2 linked regions of the Elephas maximus indicus genome follow. The protein of the gene in region 1 interacts with the protein of each later gene in a pairwise test. Links are inferred from orthologs where the notes say so. Each region holds a gene or a part of one and is shown on either strand. Other genes may lie near its edges.

What was found.
Region 2: the proteins of LMO1 (region 1) and PTPN3 interact in binary tests that used the Homo sapiens proteins (3 or more experiments, as listed by UniProt). The two-hybrid records come from large-scale screens. The link is inferred for Elephas maximus indicus from reciprocal best matches to the Homo sapiens genes LMO1 and PTPN3.

Annotation. Positions count from the first base shown.
Region 1 is NC_064825.1:63,480,929-63,492,398, forward strand, and holds the start of LMO1 (rhombotin-1), read right to left. Parts: upstream 5,397-11,470; 5' UTR 5,382-5,396; coding exon 5,360-5,381; intron 1-5,359. UniProt on the Homo sapiens protein: May be involved in gene regulation within neural lineage cells potentially by direct DNA binding or by binding to other transcription factors.
Region 2 is NC_064827.1:59,012,547-59,023,691, reverse strand, and holds the start of PTPN3 (tyrosine-protein phosphatase non-receptor type 3), read left to right. Parts: upstream 1-6,733; 5' UTR 6,734-6,853; coding exon 6,854-6,902; intron 6,903-11,145.

The sequences.
Region 1 (11,470 bases):
ATCCGGGCACAGCCCGACCTGTACGCGCCTGTGCCCCGCGGGTGTGTTTTCGCGAGCCGCGGCGGTGGGCGAGGGGATGGGGGCGTCGGGACCCCCGCCCGCCACCTACCGTCCTCCTTGTCCAGCACCATCATCTCGGGCGCTCCGTGTCCAGCCGCAGCTCGGCTCGGCCGGGAGAAGGGCGCCGACTCCGGGCGCGCTTCGGTGGGGCGGCGGGTCCTCGGGCAGCGAGCGAGCTCTAATTACCCGCTTGTCCGGCTCTTAACCTAGATTGCACTCAGCTAGAATTACATTCAGGAGTGAAGCACTTCGCAGCTACAAAAGCAGTCTCACCTACTTTTGTGCCTCAGAATTGCCAGGAACTACGAACTGCAATTTAGAGACAGAGGAGGAGGAGAGAGAAAGGGGGTGAAAGAGGATCAGAGCCGTTTCTTTGATTTTCACCTTCTAAATGGCTCAATTTGCCCAGTATAATCTGTCTTAATGTAATTGCATTTGATAGCTCATAACCCTGGCTCTGGCAACGACACAGCTTTCAGCCTCATAAAGTGTTTTCCCCTCGGATTTAATCTGAATCTCAATCTAAAATTATATTCAAAGAGATGGGAGAATCTCAGCGGCCGTCTCCCGCTGCCTTTCTCCCTCAATGTACGAGGTTTGCACTCCGGCTACTGAATAAATGCACACATTTCCCGAGGCCCCCCTTCTTCCCGGGTTAATGGGGAGTGGAGACGCGCGGCTGTCCGGCTCAGCAGCGCCACCTGGAGGCCACTCTGTCCCCGCTCAGCGCGTTCTGGTCCTGGGGTCCGGGATCTTGCACGTCTGTCTGGTGAACAAGCCGGGTCTGTTACTCCCAGGCCTTCAACCTCGCTTTCTGCACACCCCCACCGCCCTTTGGCTGTCTTTCTCTGACCCGTCCTCTCCCTTCGTACCTGCTCTGCCTAGGGTTTCTGGCTGCTTCCCGGATTGTGTGGCAAAGCTAATCCTCTGCAGGGCACAGCCACCCTACCGCCCTGAGTCTTACAGCGCTACTCCTGACCCCAGCAGCCCTCCAAGAGCATCCTGCTTCCATGGAGAGAAGGCTTTTCTCATTCCACAAATAATTATTGAGCATGTATTATGTGCCAAACACTGTTCTAGGCACTGGAAATATGGCAGAGAATAAAACAGAGACTCCTGCTGCTATTACAGAGTTGACAATTCTTCAATTCTTGCTCTGTAATTTAGGGGGCTGGAGTGGCAACAGTGTTCACATCCTTCACTCCTGGGCCCTGCTTCTCCCCAGAGCCCCAGCGCTGATCGCCTACTCCAGGAAGGCCATCCACTTTCAAATTCCAAGAGGTTTTTTTTCCCCCCTTGACAGTACAGAGTGCTAGGATGGAAATCTTAATGATTTTTCTCCAGCCCGAGGAGGGCTCCAGGCAGCTGTGTTGGAGGCTGAGTCCCGGCAGTCACTTCTGAGGACTAGACCCAGGCAAGGAGGGGGAAGCTGAAGTTCCTGGAGGGATGCAGGGCCACGAGCTGGGACTCTCATCTCTGCCAATTACCGACAGTGGACCTTGGCAACCCACTTTCTCTCTCTGAGCCTCAGTTTCCCTGCTTGTGAAGTGGGAGACCTTCTCTGCCTGTCCCCAAGTTTGCTGTGAGGATGAGATGAGATAAAGCATGTGAATGTGGTCTGTAAACTGTGGCACCCTGGACAATGGGGGGATTATTGGGTACAAAGGAGACCTGGAGGCTGGGGCTTGCCCCTTAAACCCTGGAAGGCCCCAAGGCAGGGTGTGCTTATGGGGGGGGGGCTGCAGCCCAGCCTCCTCTGTCCTAGGCAGAGATGTCAAGCTTTGAGAAAACAGAACAGAGGCTGCTTCTAATGAGATGCTTCATCCGAAGCTCAGAGGGTTTCGTTTTCCCCTTCATCTTGAATACTTAATCCTAATAGTCCTTGAGTATATTTGATGTTAAATATATCATTTTGCACAGACTCGCCATCCCTCAGGACTGTGGGCTTGATCTGTCCCTTGCCACTGCAGGCGGAGTCATAGCCTGAGGGTCCGACGGAGGCTTTGGCATTGCCATCAGGCCACCAGTGCTGCCACTGGCACATTTCGTGCCAGCCCCTCACCCCAGCCTGCTGGGGACAAGACAGTGTAGCAAGCACAGTGCCTGACAGGTCAGCAAGGGGCAGCTTCTTTCTGCAGAAACCTTCAAGCTACCTGGGGGCATTCACTCCAGAAGGGTTGCAAACTGACTCCCAACCCCCAGGGACCGCTTCTCCTCACTTTTGGGGTCTGGCCCTGACCCACAAACCAGGACTTGACAACGTGGAGCTGTTTTCCCACTCTCTTGCTCAGGTGTTGTGCCCAGGACTGTTCGTCCTAACACTAGTTCCTGCCAGCCTCCAAAGTACCCAGTTAGCAGCCATGCAGCTGGCATCCCCATGGAGAGTCAGGACACCTTGTGCCCCGAGCAATGTGGATTACTGAGCAGTGGGCTGCAGAGGCCAGTAGGGGATGTCAAAAGGGGATTGGTGCTGTGTGTAAAGGGCTGCTGTGCCCAACGGCTGTTCTCTCTGCACTCGAAGTCAATCTGGAGAAGGGCCTCCACAGCTAAGTTACAAAGCTGACCAGCAAGACCTGGAGGGTTTGGGTGGCTTGAGCTCTAAGCCAGGAAGGGACCTGCTGGGTTGATGGAGCAGTCATGAGCCACACTCATCTGGTGACCTCCCTTCAGCTGGAGGGTGGTTGTTAGGCAGGCAGGTATCCCACCCCCATGCTCACCCACACCCAAGATGCCTTCAAGTCCAAAGACATGCCTCCCACACCAGGGAGGAATACCCAGCTCCCCTGGGGCTGAGGGAGGTAATTTTGCCCAACACATTCCACAGGTGATGAGCACGTACTCAGTTCAACAATGCCAAGAGTGCTCCAAAATGCTCTTGAAATGCCTCTGGAGACAGCAGCCGAGGCCAGTTGATCAGCACCCAAGGTCACAGTGAGACAAAAGGGGGTGCTACGGGCTGCCTTACAAACTTCTAGGTAAGACCCAGCAGTTTGTCGCTGCACCTGGCAGGAAAGTCCTAAGGAAGGGTTCCTACACTGGGGGTGGGGAGGGTACAGGGAATGGGACTCAGTGCCTGAAGACCTGGGCAGACCAAATATTCCAGAACTCTGAGATGGAAGCTGTCAGATGTGCCTCAGCCTGAGGGCCCTGCTCCCAACACAGTGCAGCTGTCTCCAAACTGACCTCACAGAGAAGTAGTCAGGGTGACAAGTGCCCCTTCGCTGTGGTTGCCACAATTGACATGACAGAGTGATCCTATATACTTTGTCAGCAATCAGGAGGCCTCCTGGCCAAGTTCAGGTGTGCTGCCCTGCCTCCTGCTCACGCAAATGCAGCTGATGCACAGGAATTTACAACCAGCTGGAGTGGAGAAGGAAACCCTGGTGGTATTGTGGTTAAATGCTATGGCTGCTAACCAAGAGGCTGGCAGTTCACATCTACCAGGTGCTCCTTGGAAACTCTGTGGGGCAGTTCTCTGTCCTATACAGTTGCTATGAGTTGGAATTGACTTGATGGCAATGGGTTTGGTTTGGTTTTTGTTTTTTTTTTTTTTTTTGTTTGTTTGTTTAGAGTGGAGAAGTGCACAGTTGGAAGACTTTTCCCCTTTAGGTTTCTGGGGGGCCTGGGACAGGCCTTTTCAGAAGCTGTGGTCATAAACTGTTAGGTCTCATGGAGGCCTAAATCAATTCTGTACCCAAGCAAACAAGTCTCCCCCATGATGGCTAATCTAGCCTGCATGCCGGTCCTGAGAAGGCTATTCATGTAGAGTGATCAACTGTTCCACTTTGCCCCAGGACTGAGAAGTTTCTCAGGACGCAGGGCTTTCAGTGCTAACACCAGGACACTCTCAGGCAAACCAGGACAATTAATCACCATAATGGGTAGGTAGGGCAGTGGAACAAGGGATTAGTGGGGCCAGAGAGGAAGTCCAGGCAGCCAGGCCCTTTCCCTGTGCAGATCAGTAGCTGCCTCCTGCCCTAGCAGCTTCATTCTGTATTAATGGACTGTCCTAGCCCCTGGGGACTGTCCACAGATCAGTCAGGGTTGGGAGTTCCCCTTAAACAGGGGCAATTGGAATGGGGACAGTGTGAGTTAAACCCAGGGTTGGATCTAGATTTTCTGAGTATGGAAGCTTACTTATGTAATTTGGTAGTCTTTTTTTTTTTTTTTTTTTTTAACCAAAACGTCAGCAGTTCAAATCCACCAGCTGCTCCTTGGAAGCCCTATGGGGGCAGTTCTACTCTGGCCTGTAGGGTCGCTATGAGCCGGTATCGACTCCAGGGCAATTTTTTTTTTTCCTTGAAGAAACGCAACACACGATCAACGAAATCAAACCAAACCAAACCCATTGCTCTCTAGTCGATTCCAACCCTACAGAACAGAGTGAAACTGCTCCAAAGGGTTTCCAAGGCTGTAATCTTTGGGGAAGCTGACTGCAGCATCTTTCTCCCTCACAGCGGCTGGTGCGTTTGAACCGCCGACCTTTCAGTTAGCAGCCGACTTCTTAATCACTACGCCACCAGGTCTCCTTAATACAAGGTTAAAAAAAAAAAAAAAACTGCCGTAGAGTCGATTCCAACTCATACAAGATCACTGATACAAAACTACGGCCAGGGACCCAGCAGCTGAAGGGCCCTGAAGCTTAAATTTCATTAGCTTCAAGGTAAATCCGCCTCTGATTGAACCTGATATTTTGGACTATATGGCCCACCCACCTACTCTGGTCAGCGCAGCATCTGCCAAAACCCTGGGCTAGGTGACCCGATCGCGTTCTCCTCAGCCCTGCCAGGGGCGGAAGCGATGTAACCGGTCCCGCAGCTATGAAATCCCAGACCCGAGGGATCCCAGGACAATACTGGCTTGGTTTTCTGGGCACCCCCTGGAGGACTGGCTCTGCAGTCCGGTGCCTAAGAGGGAAGTGCAGGTACTCGAGAAGACAGGGAGACCGACACTGCCGCGGAGCCCGCGGCGCGGGCTAAGGGTCGCTCCTGGTGCCTGCAAGGCGGCAAGAGCCAGTGAGAAAGTTCGCGGCCGGAGCATGCTGAGCTGGAGGGCTCGAGGTGGCCCGTGAGACTTCCTAATGCCTCTGAGGAACCCCGGAGGCTGAGCCTGGCACCCCTGGAGACACACACACAAACACACGCGCGCGCACACACACAGCAGCCGCCGTGCTTCCGGGAATCAGCTAAACCGACCAGAGGAGGCCAAAGCGGGCTCGGGGGCCCAGCCGCCGCGGGCTGCGTGTCCGCTCCGCTCCCCACGCGCCTCCAGGCACCGGCGCAGCGCGTCGGGCACCTACCGTCTTCCTGGTCCAACACCATGGTCCCCCAGCAGCTCCAGCAAGGCCCGGGCCGAGGACGCGGAAGGGCTGCGCTGCTTCTCCGGCCCCGCGCGGGCTCCGCGCTCCGCGAGCGGCGGCCGCGGACCAGTGCGGGCGCCCGGGCGCCCGGAGCGCAGCTCGCTGGGCAGGGAGTGAGAGAGGGAAGACGCGCTGTCGCGGCGCGGAGGGGAGGCGCAGCCGCACGAGGAGACGCGGCGGGGCTGCCGGGCCGGGATCGCCGGAGCTGCGGGAGCAGCTGCTGCCGGCACCGGGCGGGAGATGCTGCGGGAGCCTTCGCGGAGCCGCCGCTGGCCGGGCCGGGCAGGAGCCGGAGCTGCAGCCACGCACCCGTTTTCGCCGCGCTGGCCGCGTTCTCTTCAGAAGAGTGAAGCCTGCATTTCCCAGGGCCCCTCAGATTCCCCTGTTAATTAAATCAATTCATTATGCTCAGATCTGATTAGCGGCCCTTCCCCCCCCCCTTTGAATCAATTATTCAATACACAAACATAATTGCTTGGGCCAGAGGTGCCCGCCATTAGCTTATTTAACTCCAAGGACACTAATTACCCGCAGGGCACGGGAACTTTTCTCATTAATTCTGACAAAACACAAAAGCACAGCCAGAGTGTGTGCGTGTGAGGGACCGTATGTGTGTGTGACCACATGCCAGTGTGAGGGGCTGTGTGGGGTGGTGAGCGACTGTGTGAGCTGAGGGTAATACTGGGGGGGCGGGGAGAGCGGGTTGGCCGAATGGTTGTGATTTCAGTTGAAAGTGTGGGAGTGTGTAGTTTTGAGTATGTGACAGTGCCCTTGTGAGTGTGAGACAGGGCATGTGATTGTGAGGGGCCCTATAAGCTCATCAGGCTGGGTGTGGCTGAGGGTCTAGGGGCTGTGGGCCAGGGTTTGAGACCCAGCATTGAAATGTGTATGAGGTTGTGAGAGCGCTTGGGTGTGACTTTGTACGACCCTGTGGCTACTATGGCAGGCGCCCCCATCTTTTTCTTTTTACTTTATTGCCCTCACCACTGCCTGCTGCATGTCCAAACCCACCATGAAAAGTGCAGACCACAACAGAGAAACCAGGAAGAATCAGGAGACTGTGGGTGGTGCTGGAACCAGACTGGGGCACAGAGGGGCTCAACCCTCTGAAGATAAAGGACTCCAACAACTCCCAATCCGACCCTCTCTAACACCTGTTTGTGCACTGGCTGGAGTTTGCCTGCCCGGTTCCCCAGTTATAAACCCTAGGTTCCCATCTCCCTCTTCCTTTGCCTTCTCACTATATTGCTCCCACTCTCCCCTTTTACCCCAAATTATCCCCCCCACATATTTCCACATGTGTCTGACACCCAAGAGTGCCCCCCAACTCCACCCACCCTACATCTAGTTCTTCACCTCCAGTTTGCAAGGCTGTAAGGAGGGTGTGCCTATGGTTGACCAATTTCTCCACATTTTACCTCCCAGGAAATCTCTGTTGAGAGAGCCCACAGAGGCAGGGACACAGAGGGTAATTGATTCCCTCAAATTAGGTTTCTGGTTTCTAAAGACCGGTATTGTTCCTGTTCTCAATGTGCACAGAGGTATTGAAGATTTCCTTTTTGTTTCCTCGGGCAATGAATGAGCTTAATCCATTTGGCTTTATAAATCAGGAAACTAATATTCGCTCCTTCCATAGCAGCTTTTTAAAATTTAATTGGTGGGGGAGGCGCAGTTAGTCACCCTTATGCTGTCCCCACCCCCCCCCCCCCACACTTATCAAAATATTTTCTGATAGGTGTGAAGAGAAGGCTCTTGGTTGGGCGGGGCGGGGGGGGAGCTCTTACCCTGATCTCCCCTGTCCTCCTCCATCCTTGCACTTGGACCCACACAGTTGGTATCTGGAAAAGTTTATGAAATGATTGAATGAATTCAATTTACTGAGGAAAGGCGGGGTGGTGTTCAGAGGTGCCCTTTTGAATGATCTCCCAAATTGTCTGCTTTCAATTTCCCACCAGCATGGAGTACAGACATGACATGCCCTGCCCAGGTATGGCAAGTCCTCCATCCTGCAGAGGTCACTAGAATCATCTTCTTGGTGCCAAGATTTGACCCTGATATTCTTCTGATCAAAACTCTCTCATGGCTCCCTATTGTCCTAACTGCTTACTTTATTATTTTAGGCCCTTTAATGTAATTGAGGGAGTCCCTGGGTGGCACAAATGGTTGAGCGCTTGACTACAAGCCAAAAGGTTGGCAGTTCAAACCTACCCAGAGGTGCCTCAGAAGACAGGCCTGGTGATCTGCTTCTGAAAGGTCACAGCCTTGAAAACTCTACAGAGCAGTTCTGCTCTGCTCACAGGGTCACCATGAGTTGGGATTGACTTTACAGCAACTCTCAAAAACAACAAACGTAATTGAACACATCCTGCAGGTTCTTGCTCCAGCAATTCTTCTCATGGCATCTCTTCTTAAAAAGACCTCCCCACCTCTCAAAATCTTGTAGGGACACAACTCTCTTCCCGATTCCCCTAAGTGGGTGTCTCTGTGTAAAATCTGGGGTTGCTGAATGGTGCATGGATTATTTCATTGAGATCTGGAGATAAGGTCAGCTCCTGGGAACAGGGTTTCAGTTTTCCTCTGGAGAGGATGACAGATGTGGCAGTGTCAGGAGCCTACACTGCCCAGCTACACAGAGGAAATGGGAGCTGAGGAGGCAGAGGAGGGAACCCTACTTTTCTGGGCTGCAGCCTCATGGCTTCCCCAGAAGAATGGAGGCTCAGAAAGACAGACTCCTAGAGCAACATCTTTCTTTCCAGATCCCAGATAGATGGCATGGAACTAGAGTCCAGGAGCTAGCCTCCCTCTAGAGCATCTCCACATTCTCTCTGTTTAGTTCTCTGTGTAGCTGGGCAGGGCTACTGCCTGGATATGTGCCAGCTGTTCCCTGCCCTAAAGCATCTGGCCAAAGGGGCAAGTGGGGACTGAAATTCTGTCATCTCTCTGCTCTCCAAGCCATGTGTCCTGGCATGAGCTGCACCACCCAGAGAGGGCACCACTTGCTAATTTGCACAGAGGTTCCATATGAGCTAGCACAGCCCTGCAATTGGGTATGTTGGATTGTCCAGAGTTCACACTGGGAGAGGTCAGCCTGACAGGCAAGCACCCAGCCTCCCTTGCCCCACCCTCACTCCTATCAAGGGCCTGTGGGGTCTCTTGAAAGACCAGCCTCCTGGTTTTCATACAGAAAGATAAATTTCAGAGAGCTCAACCATCATGGTGTGGTCAGGGACACTGAAATAGATGCCCAGCCCCATTCCGGAATATAAATGGGGCGCTAAGCCCACTGAACTCAGTCCACAGCTAGGACTCAGACATGGACAGATCTATCATAAGGACTGAGGTTCCCAGTGAAGGCCATGCTGGAGGAGGAAAATGAGATTTCTGAGAGGAGAGCCCCTTGGGTGAGCTAGACTGAGCAGCGTGGCCTGGCATTTGGAGGGACCAACAGTTTAATGTATAGCACAAGAATGGGTCTGGCCCACTCCCTATCAGTGCTCTAAGAGGGCAGTGGTATAAACAAGGAAATGGGTCACTAGGGGCCCTACAGCTTGGTTACAGAAGCCCTGAAAGAGCTGGTCACTAGAAGCAAATGGTATCTCTCTGCTGGGATGAGAAGGAAAAGAGCAGCAAGGGTCAGCAGCTGGGTGGGGTTGGCAGCAGCTTGTGGATAGAATGGACGACAGTCAAGCAAGATGGAGAGAGCAGCAGGCAGCAGCTGTAATGATATGGGTGGCATTTATACCCTCAACCCATCAACCCCCACCTCTCAATTTTGTGATTATCATAGACAAAATGACTTCATTCAGAACTCAAAATCTAGTGGCCTCCAGAGGGTACTTGGGTTATACGTATAAGCATTCCTGGAAGGTTTCATAACTTTTTGGAGAGGAGGATCCTGAGTCAGGAATCAGAGCATCACAATTTGGGTTTAATTGTTGTAAATGTGTGAGATTGGGTACTTTTCTATGACCTTTCTGTTCCAACCTGTCTTAGCTGAATGCTAGGCATGAAGAGAAAGGTCATATGAGCAAAAATGAACCAGAACAATAGTGGGGAAGCAGCCCCATCACCGGCCTTGCCTGGTGGTAATGGAGCTCAGTAGGAGATGCAAAGGGCACAGTGTGAATGTCAGACACTAAACGCTTTGCTCCCACTGCCTTTCCCTACCTGGAGAGTCTTCTGAAGCCACGCTTGCTCTCCATTGCTCCTGAACTACTGTTTCATTTCTCTTCTCCCTAGCCCTTTGATCCCCTTACCCGTTCCAGTCTCAGCAGATGAGATATGAGAAGGCATAAGGCAAGAAGGCCCCCTTCCTTCTGCCTCCAGGTCTAGGCTCCTACCTTCACCTGCAGCATCTACAACAAGCATACAGTCACATTCCCCTTCTCTCCTGAACGTTGGAGAAAATGTCCTTCCTTCTACCCTGGCCTGATCCCTCAGTGTGTGCTCTGGTCCCTTGGCTTCCACCTTTCAAGGCATCCCATTGACTCTCCCCCCATCTTCAATAGCCTCATTCTGCTAGACCTTTCACAATAGCCAACAAACAAACTCTGATATCTGATCCAAAGCAAGGAAACAAGCTCCCAGGACCCTACATCTTCCCGGAGATGCCTTGCTTTCTACTCTCCTTTATTGCCATGCTTTCTTGCTTCCCATTCTCTCCTTACCGATTCCTATCTGTCTTCAACCTTCACAAGGTTAATCAAGGATACCAATGATCTTGATGCAGTTAAAGGACTATTTTCAGGTCTCACCTTGCCTAGGCTCTCAGCATTTAATGCAGTTGGGCCTTCCTTCCTTCTTGAACATTTTTCTTCCTCAGACTAACACATAAGGAGTCCTGGGAAGCACAAATGGTTAAGCGCTGGACTACTAACTGAAAGGTTAGTGGTTGAAACCCACCCAGAGGCACCTTAGAAGACAGGCCTGGTGGTCTGCTTCTGAAAAGTCACAGCCATGAAAACCCTATGGAGGACAGTTCTACTCTGCACACATGGGGTTGCCATGAGTTGGAATCGACTTGATGGCAATTAACAATGACAGATTAACACATTCTCTGGGTTTTCCTCCCACCTTTCTGGACATTCCTATTGGTCTTTATTGCCAGCTTCTCCTCTTTCATCTAACCTTTAGCAGTTGGCAGTCCTTGGGAATGGGTGCTAGGCCTTCTTGGAACACTGTTCCCTGGGATGCCATCCACAGCTGTCAGGCCGTGTCTGACCATCACTCAGGATCTCTCCTCTGAGTTCTACACCAATACTTCCAACTGCCCATCTGACATCTCCACTTGGATGTCTCCATGGTATCTTAACTTTTAAAATCCAAAACTGAACTCCTGATATTTCCTCCCAAATCTTTCTTCATTTTGTCTCAGTAAGCCAGCCACCCAGTTCTGAATGCCAGAAATCTGGGAGTAAAGCACAATTTCAATCAAGTCAGAAAAAGCTAAAAGAAAAAAGGGGGAGGGGGGGAGAAACAATAAATAAATAAATAATATAAATAAGCCGGAATAAGTAAAACTAAGTATATTAGTATACTACGATAAATGTGCAAAGACTGAATTTCCCTGTCAAAAGACACATTGTCAGAGCTTAAAAAAACAAGAATGCAACCAAATGCTGTTTATAAGAAACACTCCCAAAACAAGGCGACAAAAGAGATTGAAAATAAAGCAATGGGTAAAGAACAAAATAAACCAAAAGAAAGTAGGAAGAAATTAATTAGGTTAAAATCAGAAACTAATGAAATAGAAAATAATAATAAACAAATTAAAACCAAAAGCTGGCTCTTTGAAAACACAAACAAAATAGTCACCCTTCCAGGCAAATCTGGTTAAAAAAAAAAAGAAGATGGAAAGCAAAATATCCATTAATAGGGAGAAGAAAAGAGCTAAATTACAGGTACAGAAAAAGATTAAAGAACTGCGACAATAATATTTGTAATCCTACGAAAATAAACTTGAAAACCTAGAGGAAATGGACGGTCTCCAAGCAAAGAAGAAAACTACCAAAATTGGACACAGAAGAAGGTGAAACCTGGAATAGGTCAATA
Region 2 (11,145 bases), on another chromosome or scaffold:
TCAATATTTTCCAGAAGATTTTAATGGGATACAGAGTCTCATGTCTCATGACATCACATTTTAAATGCCCAGGATACAATAAAAAATTACTCAGCATACAAGAAGGAAAATGTGACCAATTCTCAAGGGAAAAGGCAATCAACAGTTGCCAACCCCTAGGTGACTTAGTTGTTGTAATTATCAGACAAAGACATTAAAAAAACTATCACCTCCATGGTCCATGAGGTAAAGGTAAACACTGTTGAAATGCATGGAAAGGTAGACGTTCTTAAGCAGAGAAATAGAAACTATAAAAATAATCAAATGGAAATTTTAGAACTAAAAGATATACTACCTGAAAATAAAAAGTCACTGTATGGACTCAGTAAGTGAATGAAGATGACAGAGGAAAGAGTCGGGGAACTTGAAAATAGATTAATAGAAATTATCCAATCTGTATTATAGAATAAAGGTTGAAAAGTAATGAACAGAGCCATAGGGACCAGTGTGACAATATCAAAAGGTTCAATGTTCATGTTATTGGAACTCAAGAAGAAAACAGATTGGTAGAGAATTAAAAAAAAAAAAAAGTTTAAAGAAATAATGACCAAAATTTTCCAAACTTGATGGAAGACAAAAATTTACAGATTTAAGAAACTCAATAAGCCTCAAACAAGATAAACAAAAAGAAAACTATGCCCAGACACATCATAATGAAACTGTTAAATACCAAAGAGAAAAAAAAATCTTAAAAATCTTGACAGGAGCTAGAGAAAAACTATAGCATGACTACTATTCTCATCAGAAACCCTGGAGGCCAAAAGGCAATTAAACATGGTCTTGTAAGCACTGAAAGAAAAAAACTATCAACCCAAAAGAATTCTACTATACCCAGTGAAAATATCTTACAGGAATGATGGTAAAATAATGGCATACTTAAATAAAAGAAATCTAAGAGAATTTGTCTCCAGCAGACAGACTCTAAAACACATGCTAAAGGGAAATCTTTAGGCTGAAGGGAAATGATAGAGGGACACTTGGAACTTCAGGAATAAAAGGAAAGCAACAAAAAATGGTAAATATATAGGTAAACAGAGAAGACTATTTTTCTCCTCTTAAGCTCTTTAAATGCAGATGACTGTTGAAAACAAAAAAATACAGATTGTAAGGTGGCGTTTTCAATGTATGTGGTGTAACACATACGCTACTTATAATGTAAAGGGGGAAGGGTAGAGGAACCTAAAAGACTGTAAGGTATCTGTATTTTATCTGAAGTAGTAAAAGATTAACTCTAAGTAGACTGTAAAAGTTTAGGCATGTATGTCGTAATCCCTAGAGCAAACAGTACATATATATATATATATATATATATATATATATATATATGCCAAAAGCCAATAGATAAATTAAAACAGGATACTAAAAATATTTAAACAATTCAAAAGAAGGCAAGAAAGGGGGAACAGAAGAACAAAACATAGAGAAGACCAACAGAAAATAATAAAAGGATAGACCTAAATTTGAACATACCAATAATCACATAAAATTTAACAGTCTAACACACCAATTAAAATATATAATACAGAGATGTTGTAAAAAAAATAAAATACAGAAGTATACAGCAGAAAGGGAGCAGCTCCTGTAATAACCCAACACCCACGTCCATGAAAGACATAAAAAATTCTTCCATATTTTCCTACTATCTTACCATCATATTGATATTTATATAGGAAAAGAATGGAAGAATTCTTTCATGCCATGTACTAGCTCGTAATCAGGAAAACAGTACCAAAGGCTTCTTGTGCTCGCCATTTGACAGGTACAGACATGTTTTTCTTCATCAGTAACCCAGATCTCCCAGGAGTCTGTGTGGCTGACAGCACACTAGCCCTTTGGAACTAGACTTGATCCCAGTGCTGTTAGAAAACAATGCCTTCAGCTCCCTCCACCCCACCACCGCTCTTGGTTCTCCCTCACTGCTGGCAGCAGGGGGCCTTTACCACCACCTTATCAAAGAATCAACAAATCATGGTTCTGGGGTTTAGACTTTGAGCCTTTTTTCCATTAACTGGCTGCTCCTCCATTACTGCTTTTAGAAGGGAAATGGTTTTAGTTATTTGAATATTCCTCTTAATTGAATTATGAAGAAAGCAAGAATTTATTCCACTTATGCATGGGAAGAACACAGGACTTGATACCAAAGATCAGATTTAAATCACAGCTCTCTCACTCACTTGGGCAGGTTATTTTACTCTCTGGACCTCAGTTCCCTCATGTGTAAAATGGTTTGACAGGATCAAAAAATATACTTGCAAATAGTAATATTTCTTCACCTTCTCCATCCAATAAGGAAAATTCTGTCTTTGCTTCCTTGTGCTTTCCCTCTTCTTCCCCCATCATCCCATCGTCCTACCTCCAGCATGCTAAGGATGGTCTGTTTTTATCAGATTGCCTCCCAGACCTACGTTATGCAGAACAAGGTAATATTTAGATTTATGTTGACAAGAACAGGGGCTAATGGGCTGAAGGAAGAAGACAGAGAAAACTGAAACATGAAACAATGGAGAATATTTATAAAAGGCCTATGCTTGCTCAATTTGAGAGATTTGGGGTGGAAGTTTGGCGTGGGCAATGAGAAACTTTGATGTGAGATAGCTAAACAGAGGAAGGGTGGGAGATGGATGGATGGACGGACAGATGGACGGATAGATGAGTAGATGTTGTGTGCTGTTGAGTCGATTCCAACTCACGGTAATCTTACAGGACAGAGTAGAACTGCCCCATAGGCTTTCCTAGTCTGAAATCTTTACAGGATCAGATCACCTGGTCTTTTCTCCCACAGGGCAGCTGGTGGGTTCTAACCACCGTCCTTTTGGTTAGCAGATAAGCACTTAACCATTGTACCGCCAGGGATAGATAGATAGATGTTGTTGTTGTTAGGTGCCACAGAGTCAGGTCCAACTGATAGTGACCCCATGCACAACAGAACAAAACACTGCCCAGTCCTGCGCCACCCACACAATCGTTGTTATGCTTGAGTCCATTGCGGCAGTCAATGTGTTAATCCATCTCCTTGAGAGTCTTCCTCTTTTTTCTCTGACCCTCTACTTTACCAAGCATGATGTCCTTCTCCAGGGACTGGTCCCTCCTGAAAACATGTCCAAAGTATGTGAGACATAGCCTCACCATCCTTGCTTCTGAGGAGCATTCTGGATGTACTTCTTCCACGACAGATTTGTTTGTTCTTTTGGTAGTCTGTGATAGTCAATATTCTTCACCAACACCACAATTCAGAGGTGTCAATTTTTCTTCAGTCTTCCTTATTTATCGTCCAGTTTTCACATGCATATGAGGCAATCGAAAACACCATGGCTTGAGTCAGGCACATCTTATTCTTCAAGGTGACATCTTTAAAGAGGTCTTTTGCAGCAGATTTGCCCGACACAATGCGTCTTTTGATTTCTTGACTGCTGCTTCCATGGTGTTGATTGTGGATCCAAGTAAAATGTATAGATAGAGAGCAAAAGAGAGAGAGGATACAAATAGGAAGTAGAAGGAAGAATAAAATAAAATAAAATTAAAAAACCAGCTGCCGCCAAGTCAAATCCGACTCATGGTGACTCCATGTGTGTTACAGAGTAGAGCTTCTCGGTAGGGTTTTCTTGGCTGTAATCTTTACAGAAGTAGATCAGCAGGCCTTTCTTCCATGGTACCACTCAGTGGGTTCAAACCATTAACCTTTCAGTTAGTACTTGAGGGCAAACTGCACCATCTCGGGACCTTGAGGGAAAAACAGGAGAGAGAAAAGAGAAGATGAAAGAAGAGGAAGGGATTTGCTTTAACCGATGAACATATTCTCTTCTAGGGTTTTCCATTTAGTGAGAGACAAGAGTGGAGCCCTGGTGGTGCAGTAGTTAAGAATTTGGCTGCTAACCAAAACGTTGGCAGTTTGAATCCACCAACTGCTCCTTGGAAGCCCCATGGGGCAGTTCTGCTCTCTCCTATAGGGTCACTATGAGTTGGAATCAACTGGACAGCAATGGGTTTGGTTTGGTTTCTGAGAGAAATAAAAGCTCAAATGGTCTTTGCGATGCCAGATTGATGTTTCTCAGCACACTGTGGTACCTAGAAGAGGCCAATAAGTAACGCTGACTTTATACGGGCCACATGGGGTTAACCCTCTTATCTCTCACTGAAGCTGAGAGGGTCCAATGAAATTACAGATGTAAAAATTTAATTGTGTTATTATTATGTTACCTTTGGCTTTCCACTTGGATCTTAGTTCAGGTAAGTTACTCAAAGTCATAAGCACCAAGCAGCTTGAATAACAGAGATGTAGAATTGTGAAATCTTTGCTTAGGTCTTTGAGAAAGGCTCAAGTGCTCCTTAACATCCTTCCAATCAGCCAGCACCACTACACTGGTTTAGATAGTACACACATCTCTTAGCCTGCATTCCATGTTAGGACCAACCTGTTTGTTTCTCTGCCTCTTTCACTAGATTGTAAACTACGTGAGCAAAAGATCTTACTTACTTGTCTCTCTATTCTCCGCATAGCAGGGAGTGTGAAACACGTTGGGCACGTAAATTGGGATAATATTGAGATAATCTCTCTCTCTTTCTCTTTCACACACACACACACACACACACTGGTACTTGTACCTCGTGGCTCTTTCCCCAGTCTAGACAGCCAAGGCATCCCAACTTCACTGCTTCAGAGAAGGGAGGCATGGCAAAACAAAGAGAATAAAACCAGTTAACTCTTAGCTTTCGGTCTTCAAAAAATGAGCTCCTGATACAAACAATAGATTTGGATGGATACTTGTTGGACCAACCCCTCCATCCCACCCCCAACCCAGAGGAAATAAAAATAACCTGCGCTAGAGGAGAGGAGAGCTAGAGAAGACAGCAAGACAGATGACGGTAAGTGCCCCAGAGAAAGCTCCTGCACCTTGTCCTCTCTTCTTTGGGTTAAAGCCAGGGGTGAGGGTATCTGGTTGTGGCTAAGGAGATTAGAAACCCCATGCCGATTTGGTAGATCCTAGAGTAAATGAAAAAGAGTCCTGGTGGCACAAACAGTTAAGCGCTCAGCTGTTAACCAAAAGGTTGGCAGTTCAAACCCACCCAGGGGCTCCATGGGAGAAAGACCTGTCAACCTGCTTCTGTAAATATTACAGCCAAGGAAACTATGGGGCAGTTCTACTCTGTCACATGGGGTCACGATGAGTCGGAATTGACCCAACAGCAAACAACGACAGCAGAGTAAAAGAAACCTGTGCCTTACTGTAGGTGATATTGAAAAGATGGGGGAAATGGGCTCTTCTGTGCATCCCCATACACAGTAGGATTGGAGACGGCAGCTTTAGAATTAAAACGGTGCCTGACAAAGCTAGACTGAGAGGGCCTGTGATAGCCCTGTGGAATTCCCGAGATTCCCTGAACTGCTCAGAAGAGCTGTCAAACATCTCCCACACACACAAAGAAGGCATAGAAGATAGCTGAAAGAGCCAACGGTTCTGCAGATGCTACGATATCAGAACAAAAATATCACAATAGATGTCAGAATTTAGAAAACACTGGGAGACCAACTGGGAATGCAGAACTCTCAGCAACTAAAAACCCGACAGCTAAAAGCCTGACTAGGTCGTGCTCAGAGGCCACACATTTCAACAGTAGTCAGGGTAGAAAGAAGACCACTGAACGCCAGATGCCTGCTCTATCCCAGTCATGCACACACACACACACTCCAAGGACTTGAACTTATACACAACCCTGGGGAGAAAGTGACATGGAGAAATCTCTGAACTGGCTCAGAAAATCTGGAATTAACTAAGTTTCTGCCACCAGGAGGAATGAGGACCCAAGAGAAAATGTAACAGAAGTTATAGAAAAATAAAGCTACCTTTGTTTCGCAGATCTGAATTTTGAACTGGAAAATTCATGCTCACTACAAATGTTTGATGATTGAGTAAACAAATAAAAAAATGGGAGGTGGGGGGAGCTCTGCTGCAGTAAGCCCTTGGTGCACCAGTTTTGGCTATTCCCCTAAAAAAAAAAAAAAAATTCCCCTAGGAAGACAATAATTACTGAAAAGAATATCTGCTTTCTAGTCCTTACTCAGCCACTTACTATCTGTGATTCCTTGAGTAGGTTGCAAGTCTCTTTAGACCTCAGTTTTCTTATCTGTAAAATGGGGATAATGATACCTTCCCTGACATCTTGACAATGTTATTGTGAGGGTCAAGTGAGACAGCATGTGTGAAGGTGCTTTATATGGGGTTATAATAAGAGCATGTGGATCACCCCTGCCTTGTGGTCCAAGGACTAACAGAAAAGTAGATGGACTCAGGGATCAAAGAATTCTGTGGTACTCTACTTGTCAACCAAAACGTTCTTCTAGAATGAACAAGGAACAGTGGCTAAGTTTTCCCTGCAACCACATCAGAGCTAACTGGAGGATATCAAGGGTTACACTCTCAGTATCAGCCCAGCACACTTCATCAGGAAGAAATTCTCTGGATCCAAAACAGATTTGTTTTCATTGTGAAATAGTCTATCTGCTGAGCAACAACAAATTAAGCTCTGGGTGACTGTTCCCGTAAAACACGTCCTGTGCTTTACACTGCTATTATGGGGTGGATAGGCATGGTAAAGAATCAATTAAAACTCTGACACATTAAATGGAGTTCGAAGACCTGTTTCGCAGGTTTCCCCAGAGGAGAATAATCATGTTACATTACACTTTGGAAGCCGATCGAGGCAAGATTTCGGAGACAAGTTCTGGGGTTTACAAGACAGACTTTAGCTTTTCTAAATCATTTTTGAAGTGTTGTTCACAGGATTACAGCATTCAGTTCACTAGGCCAACAGCATTATGGTGGAGCAAGGGGGATTATCATCATACGGGCATCCTCCGGAGAACTGTAAGTTCCCTTCAAATGCATTTAAAGAAATGATGGAAATATTGCAGTATTCATATTTACGGTCATTTTGAAATGAAAGCGAGTGTTAAGCAAGTAAAGCCAGATACTTAAACTGAATTTCTTTTTTAGTTTTATAATACGGTTCTACCACAAAAGGGGAAGTCATTGTTTAGGAACTCTCAAAAGAAGTTCTAGAATTTCTAGATGTTCTAGATGAGCCTCACAGTGAGCGAGAGGGTCAATAGTAGAATATGAATAATTTTGTGGTTATCGCTGCTTAAATTATGCTTCTATGACAGTAAGGAGGAATGTTAATGGTAAGAACAATGTGTTTTTTGGCTAACTCAGACATCTGTGTAAACCATCTTCAGTCTCATTGCCTAAATAACTTCTGTCTCTCAACATGAACAAGAAGAAAAAAAATTGAGGTTAAGGCAGTATATTTTCAGAAGTGTTGCCTACAAATGAGCTTCAGCAGAAATAAAGAATTGAACAGGAAAAAAGCCAGCCAAGCGTCAGCAATAATCATTGTTGAGGGACAAGTAAGGCTTGCAGACGCAATCCATGGGTCAGGAAATGGTTTGGGGGACTCAGCTAACCCCCAATTTTGAGGGCAAATGCAGAAGCAAAGAACTAGAGAGAAAAAAACACCATGAGGATGGAGTGTTAAAGACATGCTTTCAAGACATTTCCCCAGAAGAGAGAGACAGCAAGTATGAAAAGGAAACCCAGAGTGTAAAGACAAGACCAGTCCTGCCCATTCAAGTGCTCAGCTTCAGTAAAGAGCAGGACATTTGCAGTGGAAATGTTCTCATGGTGCAGGAATCTGTTCAGTTAGGAAACTAAAACAGTTTGACACTTCCATATGTGGATTCTGCCCACAACATCTTTTCAAGGATGAAAAGGTGAGAAGGGGCTAGTTAGATGGAGGCTGGGGATACCAGTTTTGTTTTTTTGCTTTAATTGTGCTTCAGGTGAAAGTTTACATCTCAAGTTAATTTCTCATTCAAAATTTATACACATATTGTTTTGTAACATTAGTTGCAATCCCCACAATGTGACAGCACACTCCCCCCCGCCCCGCCCCAGGTTCCCTGCGTCCATTCGACCAGTTCCTGTCCCTTCCTGCCTTCTCATCCTGCTTTTGGACAGGAGCTGCCCGTTTGGTCTCTTATATTTGACTGAACTATAAGCACACTCCTCATGTGTATTATTTTTTGTTTTATAATCCTAACCTTTGTCTGAAGAGTGGGCTTTGGGAATGGTTTCAGTTCTGGGTTAATAGTGCGTACAGGTACCATAGTTTTGTGAGTTCCTCCAGTCTCTGTCAGATCATTAAGTCTGGTCTTTTTAGGTGAATTTGAGTTTTGTTCTACATTTTTCTCCTGCTCTGTTCAGAACTCTCTGTTGTGTTCCCTGTCAGGGTGGTCATTGGTGGTAGCTGGGCACCATTTAGTTTTTCTGGTCTCAAGTTGGTGGAGTCTCTGGTTCATTTGGTCCTTTAGCCATTTGGGCTAATATTTTCCTTGTGTCTTTGGTTTTCTTCATTCTCCTTTGCTCTGAGTGGGATAGGACCAATTTATGTATGTTAGATGGCCACTCACAAGCTTTTAAGACCCCAGATGCCACTTACCAAAGTGGAATGTGGAACATTTTCTTAATAAACTATGTTAAGCCAATTGACCTAGATGGGGGGACACTAGTTTCAGCCCAGTGTACCTCTCACTATAATTTTCCAAAAAAGACATTTTGGATCTTTTCTTATTTAATTTGCCATCTAAATCCTTAAGGCCCTTTCAATTGCTTGGACAAAGTTATTGTATGTGTTTTTTATTTATTTATTTATTTTGCCAATTAATATGCAAGTGTGTCTGCTGATGCTTTCTTAATCTTTGTAGAACAAGGGCCCCTCAGGGTTACTGAAATTGTGCCAGGACCTTGAAGCCTTGTGGTGCTGCCAAGGTCCTTGGGTTTGTGCCTGCCCTGTACTCTGCTATCCCATCCCCACCAACTTTTTCACCTCAAATACACACTCCCACTACACTGGGATTTCTCCTGTCATTTCATACTAAAAATGTTTCCACTGCTTAAAGCCAACCAAAAAATTGAATATCATTAAAATATCCAAATTTCTCATTTGGCAGAAAGGGGAATTTAACTTCCAGGAGAATTTTAACAAGTTAGTTAAAGGTAAAAGAGCGATAGAATTCAGGTCTATGGATAACTAGTTCCACCATACCAGCCTTCCTTTGCCTTTTCCCAAAGGAGTTGGTAGGGTCTTCTTTACCTCACCTGCCTTCTATCTCAACTTAGCTCATTACTTGTCTTTCAAAGCTTTACCACATCCACCACATAGTCCTTAAGGATAAAGCTATAACCCCCTAAAGGTGTGCATCAGGGTTGTGTCCTTTTACCATACCTACTCAACCTACATGCTGAGCAAATAATCCAAGAAGCTGGATTATATGAAGAAGAAAGGGGCATCAGTATTGGAGGAAGACTCATTAACAACCAGTGATATGCAGATGACACAACTTTGCTAGCTGAAAGTGAAGAGGACTTGAAGCACTTACTAATGAAGATCAAACACCACAGCCTTCAGTATGGAGTACACCTCAACATAAAGAAAACAAAAATCCTCACAACTGGACCAATGAGCAACTTCATGATAAATGGAGAAAAGATTGAAGTTGCAAGGATTTCATTTTACTTGGACCTACAATCAACACCCATGGAAGCAACAGTCAAGAAATCAAAAGACGCATTGCATTGAGCAAATGTGCTGCGAAAGACCTCTTTAAAGTGTTGAGAAGCAAAGATGTCACCTTGAAGACTAAGGTGTGTTTGACCCAAGCCATGGTGTTTTCAGTAATCTCATATGCATGCGAAAGCTGGACAATAGATAAGGAAGACCAGAGAAGAAATGATGCCTTTAAACTGTGATGCTGGTGAAGAGTACTGAATATACCACAGACTGCCAAAAGAAGGAACAAATGTGTCTTGGAAGAAGTACAACCAGAATGCTCCTTAGAAGTAAGAATGGTGATACTACGTCTCACATACTTTGGACATATTATCAGGGGGCATCAGTTCCTAGAGAAGGACATCATGCTTGGTAAAGTAGAGGGTCAGTGAAAAAGAAGAAGACCCTCAACAAGATGGACTGACACAGTGGCTGCAATAATGGACTCGAGCATACCAACAATTGTGAGGATGGTGCAGGATCAGGCAGCATTTTGTTCTGTTGTACATAGGATCACTATGAGGCGGAACTGACTTGACAGCACTTAACAACAACGACCCCTCTGCAGTCAATCAAATCCCACAAACACCTACTGAGCACCTAGTCTCTGTAGCCCAGGTGCCAAAGATCCTCAGATGAATAAGATACAATATCTACTTTGGAATGTATATATATCCTGTTACAATTAAAGGCATAGTATAATTGTACTATAACAGAATTTTTTTTAATGTACCATGTTATTGGAACACAAGAGAAAGGTGAAGTGAAGGGATACAAAGAGGCTACAAGACAGCCAGGAAATAAGCCTATTGGATAAATTGAGGATCAGCTCATGCAAACCTGAAATGTCTTCAAACTTTATCCTGGGAGAAGTGGGAGAGCCTGTAAGAGTCTTTAAGCAGAAGGATGATTTTGATTAGATCTATGCTTCAGGCTGGACATTTTGACTGGAGAGTCAACAACAAAATGGAGGGTCTGAACCCATCCATGGTAACTGGACAAGTAGAGTCGGCTGGCCCAGTGACAGAGCATGAAGAATGAACCAGGATATAAAATACCTGCCTGATCAACTTTCAGTTAAGTAATTGTTATCATCTCTCTACTAAATTTGAACTCAAAAATATTGACTGGGATGAAAAATAGTAACCTTTTTTTTTTTTTTAACGATTTTAAAACAGCCTAAACCCATAATTTTGCACATCCTACCAGCTTTAGCATCCAACAGAGTTTTTAAAGTAAAATTAACCTGCTGCCTCTTTTTCTGAAGATTACTCATAAAGTCTTGTATTTGAACAAATTCTTCACCGAGGAAGTAAGCCTGTTTTTGAAGAGAACAAATTGCAGTCCAAAAATAGGTTCAGAAAAGGAAATATAATCCAAAATTAATACACTTATTTGTCTGGTCTTGATTTTGGCTACTATAGCATGTCAAGAAATAATGAGCACTGCAATTTTTTTTAAAGTACCCAATGGGATTAATTTGTACAGAGACTAAAAATT